Callithrix jacchus: one gene and its partner. The protein of the gene in region 1 purifies or fractionates together with the protein of each later gene. This does not show direct contact. Links are inferred from orthologs where the notes say so. Each region holds a gene or a part of one and is shown in the gene's direction. Other genes may lie near its edges.

Region 1 (7,864 bases):
GGGAAGGGCTGAATAAATATTAATGTAAAGTAATGGGTCAACCAGCCAAGCCAAAGCTAAGGAGCCCTGAGCTGGCAGGGATGTCAAACCATTTCCCAGCCCTGTGTTTTGACTCACTTCAGGGTAGCTGTGGTGTGTGGAGGGCTGAAGTCTGGGAGAGTGAGGCAATGCTCCCCAAGCAGCTCTTTGCAGAGGAATCACTGCAAAGTGCCAGCAGGCCAGAGAAAGTTTATTATTGCTCTAGAGTGCACTGTGAGCTCACTGTTTTGCAAAAACAGAAATCTGGCTTTGAGATGAAAGCGGGGCTCCCTAGGGCTCCTCCTCCTTTTCTGTGCTTAAAAACTGACCTTTCTGGCCAGGCGCAGTGGCTCACTCCTGTAATCTCATTACTTTGGGAGGTGGAGACAGGCAGATCACCTGAGGTCAGGTGTTCGAGACCAGCCTAACCAATATGATGAAACCCTGTCTCTACTAAAAATACAAAAATTAGCCAGGTTTGGTGGCATGCACCTATAATCCCAGGTATTTGGGAGGCCGAGACAGGAGAATCACTTGAACCCGGGAGGTGGAGATTGCAGTGAGCCAAGATGGTGCCATTATATTCCAGCCTGGGCAACAAGAGTGAAACTCTGCCTTAAAAGAAAAAACAAGGCTCATGCCTGTAATCCCAGCACTTTGGGAGGTTGAGATGGGTGGATCACGAGGTCAGGAGTTCAAGACCAGCCTGGCCAACATGGTGAAACCCCATCTCTATAAAAAAAATTAAAGCAAACGGACAAAACACCTCGCCTTTCCTTTGCACTTGGGAGCCCCAGAATGAGTGGGAGATTGCAGCTCCGGGGAGTGTTGGATAGGGGAAGAGTCTCTGGAGGTGAAGGGCCAAAATAAAAATAAATATCTCTTGTTGCTTCCATGAGCTTTATTGCAATTAGTAATAGGAGTGATACGAATAATGACCCTTACATTTTATGCAATTTAGAAAGTACTGTCACATGTTAACCAGCAATAGTACCAACCCTAGTATCGATACTAATAATAACTAACACTGTGAGTCCGACACTGTGCTCTCCATTCTGTATGGTGAATTTAGGTTACAGTCTGGTAGTGGCAGATCTACAGCTTCTGTATATAGAACTCAGTGGTGCTGGGCACAGTGGCTCATGCCTGTAATCCCACCACTTTGGGAGGCCAAGACGGGCAGATCATGAGGTCAAGAGATCGGGACCATCCTGGCCAACATGGTGAAACCCTGTCTCTACTAAAAAATACAAAAATTAGCTGGGCATGGTGCCGCACATCTGTAGTCTCAGCTACTTGGGAGGCTGAGGCAGGAGAATTAACTGAACACGGGAGGAGGAGGTTGCAGTGGGCCGATATCGTGCCACTGCACTCCAGCCTGGTGCCTGGTGACAGAACAAGACTCTGTCTCAAAAAAAAAAAAAAAAAGAACTCAGCGTTACAAATCTGTTGTTTGTAAGGGGAGGCTGGGGGTTGGTTATGAAGGTATATTTGAATAATACTTACATAAGATTGTATGCAGTATCAAATCCACTGGGACTGATGGGAACTTTGAGTACCCCAAACCACCTGTGAGCCTGAGCTTGTCAAAGCCACCTCTCAAATCATATTTACTGGATTCAGATCATAGCTCCATCTCTAATGGCTGTGGGCAAGTTATATAGCCTCTTTACTTTCCTGATTTGTAAAATGGAGTTAAAAGAATCTACCCTGTAGATAATATTAAGGGTTTAATAGTATAATAGGCTGGGTGCGGTGGCTCATGCCTGTAATTCCAGCACTCTGGGAGGCTGAGGAGGGAAGATCACCTGAGGTCAGGAGTTCGATACTAGCCTGGCCAACACGGCGAAACACTCTTTCTACTAAAAATACAAAAATTAGCCGGGTGTGGTGGTGGTTGCCTGTAATCCTAGCTACTCAGGAGCCTGAGGCAGGAGAATTGCTTGAACCTGGGAGGTAGAGCCGAAATCATGTCACTTCACTCCAGCCTGGGCAACAGAGTAAGACTTTGTCTCAAAACATCAACAAACACCACAAAATACTATAGATAATATCCCCTAAATACTGTAGATAATATTAAGGGTGATGCAAGTAAGCCACCTAGTTTACTAAGTGTCTCACAACAAGGCTAAGTAAGAGTTATCTCCTATTATGAAAAGAAACAAATTGAGGCTGGGTGAGGTGGCTCATGCCTGCAATACCAACAATTTGGGAGACCAACGTGGGTGCATCACTTGGGCCCAGGAGATCAAGACTAGCTTGGGCAACATGGCAAAACTCCATCCATCCATTCAAAAAATACCCCCCCACCCCCCGAGTGTGGTGGCTGACGCCCGAAATCCCAGCACCTTGCCGGGCGGGGGGAGGGGAAGACACAGACACGACTGCCTGAGTTCAGGAGTTCGAGACCAGCCTCAGCAACACAGTGGAAAAAATAAACCTGGCGTGGCAGCGTGCGCTTGTAGTTCCAGCTACTTGGGAGGCTAGGGCAGGAGAATCACTTGAACCTTGGAGGCGGAGGTTGCAGTGAGCCGAGATCGCGCCATTGCATTCCAGCCTGGGCGACAGAGTGAGATTCGTCTCCAAAAAAACAAAAGAAAGAAAAAAAAAACTGCGGCTGTGTTTTACAAAAAGATACAAAGTTATCAGTATTATTAAAAACTGCCCCCGCCTTTTAAAAATCAAACGCTAGAAAAACCTCACCTGTTTGGCCTCTCCTGCACCTACCCCTCCCTGCCCTCAACTGCAGCTGTGCGCAGCCAGTTGACTGCTTTCCTTAAAGGCCTCGGGGTGCTCGTATCTTCTTTAGACGTTCAGCCAAAATTTTTAGAGTGCGGCTGGGGGGAAGGGTAGCGCACCCAGAATTAATTTAGCTCCATCGTTGAAGCCTGGGTTCCTACCCAAGGCACAAAAACAAATAGAAAAGGCAGCTTCTGGAAGATTAGAAAACAGCTAAGTTTGCAGGTGCTTCGGCATCAGTGGTGGCGTTGAATGTAACATCCATGCCAGGTGGGATAAGGTTTGATCGCAGATGAAATGGTTAATACCTTATACGAAATTCACGACGAAAAATCCCGAAACAGGGCATTTAAATTCACTGCCAGGGCTTGGGGGTGGGGAGCAGGGATCGGAAGCGACGCTACTGGTTCTTAAATGCGTTTTTACTTGGGAATGCCGGGCAGGGAAAGGAAAGGTCATCATCTGTTTAATTTCCACCCCCAGCTCTGGACTTCCAGCATTAGCTCGCCGGGCCTCAGCTGTTGTACACACACGGCGAGGGGGAGGGGAGGGCGGAGGCGCGGAGGAGGGGCCGGCTGGGAGGAATCTGGGCGTCCTGCCGCGCATGCGCCTTTCCCGAGCAACAAGTGGGCTCCACAGAGGAAGTGTAAAGGGGGGGAGAACTGGTGCAGAGCATGGCGGTGACGTCAGCGCTCCGCCCGGGCGGCATCCCGCGCGGCCAAGCCGGGGACAGCGCGAGCCGCAGCCGGAGCAGGAGCGCCGAGACGCGCCTCCGGAACGTAGAGTAACAATCACAACCCCACATTCCGGGCGAGCGCGAGCACGAGCGGGAAGGGATGCGACCCGGGCCGAGGCGCCGCGCGAGCGCCCTGCAGCCAACGTGAGCGCCGCCAGCCGCGGCGGCCCGGGCGCCGGCCAGGCCTGGGGGCGGCGGGAGCCTGCGTGCGTGCCCTCCTCTCCTCTGCTTTCGTGCGTCCTGGAAGCAGTGGCCGCGGCGGCTCCCTCCTGGGTGCAAACCCAGCCGTTGCCAGCGGAACGGCCGACGCCACGGAGGGGAGAAGGTCCTTTCTCGGCTACCACCCCCTCCCCCGGCCCTCCGGGGAAGCAGCGGCTTCAGCAAGATTGGACCCGGGCAGCGGGTGGCACTGAACTCTCTAGCCCTCGCCCCAGGGGGCCCGTCGGGGAGAGGACGCAGCTCGTAGGGGGGCCCCCGGGGAAAGGAAGAGACATCCCCTTTCGAGCTTCCACGCACCCGCCACTCCGGGGAGGGGGCCAAGAGGCAACGGCGGCCAGCACCGGGCACCCTCGCCCCCTCCCCTCGGGCCCGGAGCTTCCAGCCCAAGTCCGCGGCACCAGGAAGAAGGCTCCTGAGCTCCCCTCGCGACGAGACATCCGCAGTAGGAGGTGGGGGCGAAGAGCGGGCTGAACCCGTCCTCCGCCCGGTCAGTGGAGCCCCACGGCGAGGCGCTGCGCCGGCGGTGGAGACTCGCGCGCCCTCCAGCCCCTGGGGCAGAACTTTCTCGCCCCCCTCCTCCCTCCCCCGCAGTCGGACTCCCTCCCCAGCCGGCCAGTCCTCCCGGAGGAGAAGGCGCCGCAGAGACAGCCCGGGCGGGGGCCTACCTTCCCCAGGGCAGGCATCATGTCGGCGGCGCAGGTGTCCTCGTCCCGGAGACAATCTTGTTACCTGTGCGACCTGCCCCGCATGCCCTGGGCCATGATCTGGGACTTCTCGGAACCCGTATGCCGCGGTTGCGTCAACTACGAGGGCGCCGATCGCATCGAGTTCGTGATCGAGACCGCGCGCCAGCTGAAGCGGGCGCACGGCTGCTTCCAGGACGGCCGCTCCCCCGGGCCGCCGCCGCCCGTCGGGGTCAAGACGGTGGCCCTGTCGGCTAAGGAAGCGGCCGCGGCAGCGGCGGCAGCGGCGGCGGCCGCCGCGCAGCAGCAGCAGCAACAACAACAGCAGCAGCAACAGCAGCAGCAACAGCAGCAGCTCAACCACGTAGATGGTCCCAGCAAACCTGCGGTGCTGGCGGCCCCGTCTGGCCTAGAGCGCTATGGCCTGAGCGCGGCCGCAGCCGCCGCCGCCGCCGCCGCCGCCGCCGTGGAACAGCGCAGCCGCTTCGAGTACCCGCCACCGCCGGTGAGCCTGGGAAGCAGCAGCCACGCCGCGCGGCTGCCCAACGGCCTGGGGGGCCCAAACGGCTTCCCCAAACCAGCACCGGAGGAGGGACCCCCAGAGCTGAATCGCCAGAGCCCCAACTCTTCTTCAGCGGCGGCATCGGTGGCGTCCCGGCGTGGGACGCACGGTGGGCTGGTGACGGGGCTGCCCAATCCGGGGGGTGGCGGAGGTCCCCAGCTCACCGTGCCCCCCAACCTGCTACCGCAGACACTGCTTAACGGCCCGGCCAGCGCCGCGGTCCTCCCCCCACCCCCGCCTCATGCGCTAGGCAGCCGTGGGCCCCCGACGCCTGCTCCCCCAGGGGCTCCCGGGGGCCCCGCTTGTCTCGGGGGTAACCCGGGTGTATCGGCCACGTCGTCCGCGTCGTCTTCGACCTCTTCGTCGGTGGCGGAGGTGGGCGTGGGTGCTGGTGGCAAAAGGCCCGGCTCGGTATCGAGCATGGACCAGGAGCGCGAGTTGAAGGAGAAGCAGCGCAACGCCGAGGCCCTGGCCGAGTTGAGCGAGAGCCTGCGCAACCGCGCCGAGGAGTGGGCCAACAAGCCCAAGATGGTCCGAGACACGCTGCTCACGCTGGCGGGCTGTACGCCCTACGAGGTTCGCTTCAAGAAGGACCACTCGCTGCTGGGCCGCGTTTTCGCCTTCGACGCCGTCTCCAAGCCCGGCATGGACTACGAATTGAAGCTGTTCATTGAGTACCCCACGGGCTCGGGCAACGTGTACTCCAGTGCGTCTGGTGTGGCCAAGCAGATGTACCAGGACTGCATGAAGGACTTCGGCCGGGGCCTGTCCTCGGGTTTCAAGTACCTGGAGTACGAAAAGAAGCACGGCTCCGGGGACTGGCGCCTGCTTGGGGACCTGCTGCCCGAGGCCGTGCGCTTCTTCAAGGAGGGCGTGCCTGGCGCCGACATGCTGCCCCAGCCCTACCTGGACGCTAGCTGCCCCATGCTACCCACAGCACTGGTGAGTCTGAGCCGCGCCCCTAGCGCACCCCCGGGTACCGGGGCCCTGCCGTCCACCGCGACCTCGGGCCGGGGCGCAGCCGCCAGCCTGCGCAAGAGGAAGGCCTCTCCCGAGCCCCCGGACCCAGCCGAGGGCGCGCTGAAGCTGGGTGAGGAGCAGCAGAGGCAGCAGTGGATGGCGAACCAGAGCGAGGCGCTGAAGCTCACCATGTCCGCCGGGGGCTTCGCGGCGCCGGGGCACGCGACAGGGGGTCCGCCTCCGCCGCCCCCACCTCTGGGACCCCATTCCAACCGGACCACCCCACCTGAGTCAGCCCCCCAGAACGGTCCATCCCCCATGGCTGCCCTCATGTCGGTGGCAGATACTCTGGGCACTGCGCACTCGCCCAAGGATGGCAGTTCCGTGCACTCTACCACTGCGTCCGCGCGGCGCAACAGCAGCAGCCCAGTCTCGCCGGCCTCCGTGCCGGGCCAGCGCCGCTTGGCATCACGTAACGGGGACCTGAATTTACAGGTGGCGCCCCCGCCGCCTAGCGCCCATCCGGGCATGGACCAAGTGCATCCCCAGAACATTCCGGATTCCCCCATGGCCAACAGCGGACCCCTCTGCTGCACCATTTGCCACGAACGTTTGGAGGACACGCATTTCGTTCAGTGCCCATCCGTCCCCAGCCACAAATTTTGCTTCCCTTGCTCTAGAGAGAGTATCAAGGCCCAGGGGGCCACCGGCGAGGTGTATTGCCCCAGCGGAGAGAAATGCCCCCTAGTCGGGTCGAATGTACCTTGGGCCTTCATGCAAGGCGAAATCGCGACTATCTTAGCTGGGGATGTTAAAGTGAAAAAGGAGAGAGACCCTTGAACCACCGGGCAGCCACCTCCTTTGCCCCAGACCAGCTCCTCTCCAATCCTGAGGGCCCCACCCCCACCCACCTCGACCTTCCCTTCCCTCACCCCCAAGATGTAGAATTGTGAATATAACAAAACTGCAAAAAGTTAGTCTTATGTATAGACATTATTTTCGTCGTATGTTTCTATATTTTGAAACAAAGGTATGTAACTTCTTCATTTGAAGGATAAGCTGGTTTGTGTTAAGCAGTATCATATTGGTTGGGTCGTTTGCATCATATTCGTTAGCATTTATTTGGTGGCAGAATGTTTGCCTAGGTACAGAATTAATAGCCCTTAGCAACGACTGCTGCTGGTGTGTATTTTTGTAAATGTTATGCACTCTCTGAAAGGAGAAACAGACACAAGAAAAAGACTTTTTTTTTTTTTTTTTTTTTTGCCAAGGCCAGTGTTGCTGCCTAAAAAAAAAAAAAAAAAAAAAAAAAAAAATGATGCTATAAAATGGTGAAAGCTTCCTTCTAAACTGCCCCAAGTGTTGAAGTCTTCACTTTATTTTGTTCTGTTTTTGTTTCGTTTTTCTGTTTTGTTTGCAAAATGGTAAGGGGGGTGTGGGGGGGACGGGGTGTTTTTTGTTGCAAGTTTGTGAGGGGAAAATGCTTTGGTTTGTTTCTACTGACCTGAATGTGTTGGATCTACACGTGTTGTTTTGTTTTTGCTTTCTTGATGCACGGATGCTTTTGAACAGTAGAGCGAAATGCTAGACATGGAGAATCTGCTCTGTTTGTCCTTTATACATTTCTGTAGTTAACAGAACACTGTAATGTGCCTTGGAGCTTAGTAACTTGTAATAAATTCAATTGATATTAATTCTGCGCCGAGTCAGCAAGTTTGTCTTTCTAGGGCTAAGGCCACACAACTCCGACGTAAGGGACACCCTCCCTACCTCCAATACAGAACGAAAATCCTAGTGCCTTTGAAAGCCCTGGGAGCTGGCCTGTGGGAAAGGCCCTGAGCTGCCTGGCTGCCCCTCCCCCTCAGTACCAGGCTATTTACATTCACCTCTTGGGGAGGCGACAGTTGCTGACTAAGCAATTTCGGTTTACTCTTCAGCATCTCTATT
Region 2 (7,111 bases), on another chromosome or scaffold:
TGTAGCCCCAGACCCAGTCCCACCCCAACCCACTGGTTAGAAATCTCCAGTGTTTTCTGAGGATTCTTGTGGAATTTTTTTCCTATGTTAGACATCAGTGATTCAGTCTTAAAGATAAGCATTGCATCCATTGGATGAACTTAAAATGCAAACAAGCACGAGAATTTTTACTAGGATGGAAACTGGGGAGGGGAGTGGGAATGTTGTTCTGAACCCAAGGGTTTTGCTCTCCGCGTCACAGTGTATGCTGTTGGAATGAGTGACAGCTCCTTTTTTGGAGTGATTTTAGTCTGTTGCTGTAGTGCTATTTCCATAGCAACTCCTGTTGCTACACAGCTGACATCTGATGAAATGATGACCACAGCTCAGGGGTACAACTCCTCATCCCCTTGCATCCCTGCCAGGAGTGTTGAGAAACCCTGGGAGAGGAGGTTCAGCCCGTGCCATTTTGATGAGGTTTGATTGGCAGTTGCTGCATTCCTGGGGGTATCATCAGGGCTTCCCAGAAAGTTAGCTGGGCTTGGGCTTCTGAAGCTTTCCCTTGGAAACACCCTCTTCTCTCTATGTGGAGGAGGAAGTATCACAAAGAAGGGAGATAATTAGAAAGGATATTTTTCTCATTTATGAAGGTATACAGATTAACACTCCCTTTTTTTTTTTTTTTTTTTTTTTTTTTAATGAAAAATTACCTGATAGGGAATACAGGCCAACCAAGATCATACCGAATTTCTGAGTGTGGCAGGCCAGTGTGGGGCCTGTGTTTTAGGTATCTCATTTAAAATGGAAAGTTCCATTTTGCTTTGGGGCCAGAATCCTTAAAAGAAATCCTGGCTGGAGGTGTATTATGGGTCACTGTATATTTGCTGGTTTATATCTTGCTGACTAAATTGGCAGAGTTTTTATTTTTCCTGGTAAATATTCAGAGGGTTTTTTCCTCACTCCTTTCTCCAACAAAATCATATTTGTCATATGTGTATGAAATAAATGACTGTGAACACTGTCCACACGTCTGTGATGATACGAAAATGAGTGGTGACAAACAAAGATTCTTTTTCTTATGTACCACAAGGCCTGAGATGACGTTGACTTTATCCTCATATTACTCTCAAACTGTGACCCAGTGGAAACAAAATGGGCCAGATCGGAGAGACCCAAATGTCCAGCACAAAAAAAGGGTTATTATTGATGAAAAATTTAGGTGCTCTCCCCATGTGACTTAGAAAGTTCGAAATTTTCTTTTAATCATTAGTCTTTTTTTTTTTGAGACAGAGTCTCACTCTCTTGCCCAGGCAGGCATGCAGTGCACTCCTTGGCTCACTGCAACCTCTGCCTCCTGGGTTCAAGCAATTCTCTGCCTCAGTTTCCCAAGTAGTTGGGATTATAGGCGTGTGCCACTATGCCCGGCTAATTTTTGTATTTTTGGTAGGGACGGGGTTTCACCATGTTGGCCAGGATGGTCTCCATCTCTTGACCTTGTGATCCACCCGCCTTGGCCTCCCAAAATGCTGGGATTACAGGCATGAGCCACCGCACCTGGCCCAATCATTAGTCTTTACAAAGTTTAGAAGGTACACAACCTTTATGAGTATGAAAGGCTATGCTTATTTTACTTCACAGCAAGGCACAAAGTGATTACCTAGTGCAAAACCTTTTAAAACAGTTACGAAAAGCGCCAGGATACCAAATCAAATGGAAATTTGGATCCTAATTTGATTGCCTAACTTTGAAAAATGTTTCAGAACTGCACCTACCTACATATTATGCTTGTGATAAGTTATATGCTGAAGTTTTGTGCTGGTAATAATCTTTTTAATGTGCAATTTTTAGTGGACTATAACAAACATTTATTTCCCATTAAATGATATATTTATATTTCTTATAACTTTAGGGAGCAAATGTTGTGAACTATTAGCCCATAAACTTTCCTCATTCTTTTAAAGTAAATAATATACCAAGAAATAATAATAATAATAAAGAACAAGCAGGAAAAGTGAGTTGGGTATGGTGATTTCATGATTGCAGTGAGGTTATTCTCCTGTCCATATGGAATGGAATACCCACACGTGAAAAGACCTTTGGTGTTTTAAATTAACTTTTGAGATTGTTTACAGCAAATGCTTTTTGCCTCCCTGCTGCTATTTGATTGCAACTCTTTATTTTAAACTCTACCCTGAAGGGCAATTGTGCTAGAAAACCGCGTTGATGTAAAATGTCTCATGCTTGGCAGCTCACCACACTCAAACCGTGTTCTGAGGATGGCAGGCGGCCCCATCCCACTGCCAAAAACTTTCCACTGGGAGCAGTTTTGCAAGGGGCTGGCTTGGCGGGCAGGGAGCCTGGGGTACTGAGATGGGGGCCTTTCTCCTGCTTGGTGACCACATCATCTCTCTCTACATAGGTGAAGCTGCTCTCAGGGGAGAACCCAGAATGCAGACCCTGCCAGTGGCCTCTGCCCTCAGCAGTCACCGAACTGGTCCTCCCCCCATCAGCCCCAGCAAGAGGAAATTCAGCATGGAGCCAGGTGACGAGGACCTAGACTGTGACAGTGACCACGTCTCCAAGATGAGTCGCATCTTCAACCCCCATCTGTGAGTTCTTCTGTTCTTATTTTGGCTTAAGGGCGCTCCGTGCTGGGACCCTGTTTGTTTTGCAACTTTGTGCTGATTCTGAAGTTACCATTTGAATACTTAATTTGTAAAGGATATTATTTATGAAGAAAAATAGCGTTTGTCTGACAAAAAGAAGGTAGTAACTCATTTTGATAACTTGTGGAGAGATGAAGTCCAACTTCCCTCCAGCGTACCTGTCGTAGGACCTTTCTCATGTTAAACTCCAAAGAAGTTAATGTCCCCTTAGAGCTTCTGCAAGTAGTCATCTGCTAAGCTTGGCTTTTCACCTCTACATACTGATTGTTTTTAGGAGAATCAGTGTTAGTGAATATCAGTATGCACCAGACAAATAGAAGGGAAGGTCAGCACCTGAGCAGATGCCTGTTAAGGTTTTACTCAGGAGTCTAGGATTGTACACGAAGAAGTGTTTGTCCCACGTTGCGTGTCCCTGGTACAATCTTGGGACCTTCCCATAAAGGGAAGCCAGCTTCCTATGCTCATACAGGTTGCCACTCATCACATCCAGCCAGTCCTTTATCTGCCACTGACACTCTACCTTCTTGACACGAATTGCTTCAACTCATTGGCCTAAGTTTCCTTGTTTGTGAAACAACAGGGGCTGAAACTACAGTTCTCTGTATCTGTGCATCATCACCACGTTTCTACTGGAAAAGCCTCCCGCTTCAATGCACTGGCTTCTCCCGTTTGTACTCTGCTCTCGGCACACACCCCGGGTGCAAAGGGATAGGCTTCTCCCCAGTTTTCAGGACTTGGAGACACCCCATCACCTGCCCAGGGAGACTGGGGACAGTGGTGAGGGCAGTTGGTGTTCTCGGAGTTGTCTTGCCAATCCTGGTGAGGCTGCACTGAGTATCGGAGGGAGTTTTGCGTGTGCAGGTACAGAGGTCCTCCCCCTTCCCTGCCCTAAGCACTCACTCCAGCATGAGTCAGTGTTTCCTCATTTTCAACATGCTCCAGTTTCTGAGGGTGCTGCTGTTTCCCCACAGGAAGGTAGAGCAGGGAAGGCTCCTCCTTGGAGGCAGAGCTTCCGCAGAGAGGTGGCCCAGCTCCCGCCTCTGCTGCCTCAGCTCCAGCGTCCTCGCATTCCGCTCGTTCCAGTCAGCTTGGACTGTTGTGTTCAGTCATAAGACACTGACAGAGGTATTTATCCTCAAATAAATCACTGCAGTGTTAGTCAGAGGCTGAGCCTGCAGTCTGGAGCCCTGGAATTTGCTACCATCAGGAATCCAGCAGGAAGGCCCTGCAAACAATGCACTCCGCAGTTAGGGCTCGCTGAACTCCTGGGTGCTCAACTGTTGCAGTTCATTCTTTTATTACCACAAATTTCTTGTTCTTTCCCATCCTTCTTTTCCAAACCCCAATACGAGCATTTGTTCTTTTTTCTTTTCTTTTTATAAGTAAGAAAGGGGAAGGCAGCCTGCAGACAAACATGCCTTAATTTAAATCCTGCTTCTGCCACACAGCAACTGTGAGGCTTTGGACAAGTCACTTAATTTAGCTGGGCCCAGTATCCTTGACGATAATAATAGTTAATGTATAGAGCTGTTATGAGGATTAGAGTTAAAATAGGCAAAGAGCTTGGCACGGTGTTGCACTCAGTTGAAGAGAGCTGTTATTTTTATTCCATTGTTCAGATACTGGTTATAATGATAAAGAAGAGTGTGTGTGTGTGTGTGTGTGTGTGTGTGTGGTGGATTTAATGTTTGATAATATATGCCTTTTAATAAAAATGACTGGGTTCAAATCTGCTTTCTTGGCATTTCATCGAAGATAATGTTGATTCCTTCCTCATAGGATTATTGTAAGGACTTAAGTACGGTGCCTGGCCGATTGTAAGCACTCAGGTTTAGTTATTATTAGAATGTTAAAACGTTTAGAAAATAATTTTGTGGCTAGGCACAGTGGCCCACACCTATAATCGTAGCACTTTGGGAGGCCGAGGTGGGTGGATCACCTGAGGCCAGGAGTTTGAGACCAGCCTAGGCAATATGGTGAAACCCTCTCTCTACTAAAAAAATACAAAAACTAGCTGGGTGTGGTGGTGGGTGCCTGTAATCCCAGCCACTTGGGAGGCTGAGGCATGAGAATCGCTTGAACCTGGAGGTGGAGGTTGCAGTGAGCCAAGTGAGACTCTGTCTAAAAACAAAAAAGGAAAATAATTTTGCAACTCTCTTGGGGGCTACAGATATGAACTTGATGTGTATGGGTCTGTGATGACGCTATAAATAATTTTAAATGTAAAGAATAGAATCGCTAATTTTTTTTTTTTTTTTTTTTTTTTGAGACAGAGCATCACTCTGCCTCCCAGGCTAGAATGCAGTGTCACAATCTCAGCTCATTGCACCCTCCACCTCCTGGGTTCAAGTGATTCTCCTGCCTCAGCCTCCTGAGTAGCTGAGACTACAGGCATGTGCCACCATGCCGGCTCATTTTTGTAATTTTAGTAGAGATGGAGTTTTGCCATGTTGGCCAGGCTGGTCTTGAACTCCTGACCTTGTGATCTGCCCGCCTTGGCATCCCAAAGTGCTGGGATTACAGATACGAGCCACGGCACCTGGCCAGAATTGCTGAATTGTATGTGAAACTCCCAATTGACATTATTATGCAAAGTTTTAGGAAAATAGAAACAGCAGTAACCCCATGTCTCAGACTCCCTTACACCAGCCAGGTGGCTCTCCCCCCATTTTTAAAATTATGGTAAAAAGTATATATATACTATAAAATGTATTTTCTTAACCATTTTTAAGTGCAGAGTATAAGTAGGAAAGGCCATCAGTGTGTGGTTAGGTCCTTCTGAGTGTTACTTGTTTACTGTGTGATAGTTACTAATTTTAGTAACATTACCATTGTTTCTACTGTATTTTCTAGGAGCCTAATGACAGATTGGAAAGATGCTGCCTATCTTACTTCTTCGTGTTGTAGGGTATTTAGTGCTGCCATTCAATGAAATATTTCCTATTGGGCTATAGTTATGTTCCCCCCTTTAGATTTAATGTCTCAGAAGTTATCTGTAGTACATTTCAGATTCATAATTATTTGAAAAGGAATAGTCTAGTGTATTTGCCTCTTTAAGGAGATCCCAAAATGGGTTTTGTGCTTTATCTTCTTAGAGTTTGTTAATGACATGTAATGAAAATACGATTTATTTGATCACTAAAGCAATCACAAGAATTCTGGGGAAAGGAGTGTTATTGGAAAAGAGTTTTGGCTGGGTGTGTTAGCTCATGCCTGTAATCCCAGCATTTTAGGAGGCTGGGGCAGGCAGATTGCTTGAGTCCAGGAGTTCGGGCAGCAAGACCCCATCTCTAAAAAAAAAATTTTTAAATTAGCTTGACCTGGAGGAGTGCTCCTGTGCTCCCAGCTATTTGGGAGGCTGAGGTGGGAGAACAGCTTAAGCCCAGAAGTTTAAGGCTGCAGTGAGCTGTGATCACACCACTACACTCCAGCCAGGGTACAAAAGGGAGACCCTGGTTCTAAAAAAGGAAGGAAGGGAGGGAGGGAGAAAGAAAACTAGTTTTGGTAGCTAGCTAACAAGGCCTCAAAGATGCATGGTTTGGCTACATTTTATTATAACCATCATACAGAGACATTTTCTAGAAGAAAGATGGAGACATCAGGTGACTCTGAGCCATAGTACGAAGCAACAGAGGCTGGGCTCATTGGTTCATTCCTGTAATCTTACCACTTTGGGAGGCCAAGGCAGATGGATTACTTTGAGGTCAGGAGTTCGAGACCAGCCTAACCAACGTGGTGAAACCTCGTCTCTACTAAAAATACAAAAAAAAAAAAAAATTAGTAGGGCGTTGTGGTGTGCACCTGTAGTCGCAGCTACTTGGGAAGCTGAGACAGGAAAATTGCTTGAACCTGGGTGGCAGAGGTGACAGTGAGCTGAGATTGTGCCATTGCACACTAGCCTGGAAGACAAAGCAAGACTGTCTTAGAAAAAAAAGATGAGACAAAGAATGAGACAAGTTCTATCTGGTTTGATTTCGGGGAAGGGGAAAAAGAGAGGTTTCCTTAGTGATTTCTTCAGAATGTTTAAAATTAGAATTCCTGGGCTTTTATTCCAGCCTTTTTTTTAAATTTTATTTTTTATATACACACTTCCACCATCAGAATTCCAGCCTTTTAGGGCCTGGAATATTTGAACTCATTATTAATTTTTTTGATGATACTATTACCAAAACACCAGGGGGTTTGGTCTAGGTCCTGCTGCCCTCTGCACAGAAAGCCAGTGACTGAGGACAAGTACTGCCGAGGAAGAAGGCTTTTTCATTGGGTACTCCAGCCTAGGAGATGGGGCAAATCCGTCTCCCTGATGGACTAAAACTAGGGTTTATGTAGCAGGGAAGAAATGAAACAATTGCAACAAACCAGGAACTTGGGAGGGACAAGGAGTAATCATGATGAAGGAGGGTCCCTTATCTCATTTTCCCAATGTAGTGACCTGGTGAGTTTCAGTTCCTTGACACCTCTTTTTT

The links.
Region 2: the proteins of IRF2BPL (region 1) and VGLL4 purify together in Homo sapiens (affinity purification with mass spectrometry; 3 studies listed by BioGRID and IntAct, counting the BioPlex papers as one, with this or other methods). This does not show direct contact. The link is inferred for Callithrix jacchus from reciprocal best matches to the Homo sapiens genes IRF2BPL and VGLL4.

The regions. Positions count from the first base shown.
Region 1 is NC_133509.1:111,954,330-111,962,193, reverse strand, and holds IRF2BPL (putative E3 ubiquitin-protein ligase IRF2BPL), read left to right. Parts: upstream 1-3,482; 5' UTR 3,483-4,396; coding exon 4,397-6,757; 3' UTR 6,758-7,611; downstream 7,612-7,864. UniProt on the Homo sapiens protein: Probable E3 ubiquitin protein ligase involved in the proteasome-mediated ubiquitin-dependent degradation of target proteins. Through the degradation of CTNNB1, functions downstream of FOXF2 to negatively regulate the Wnt signaling pathway.
Region 2 is NC_133516.1:68,807,926-68,815,036, reverse strand, and holds part of VGLL4 (transcription cofactor vestigial-like protein 4), read left to right. Parts: intron 1-2,398; coding exon 2,399-2,588; intron 2,589-7,111. UniProt on the Homo sapiens protein: May act as a specific coactivator for the mammalian TEFs.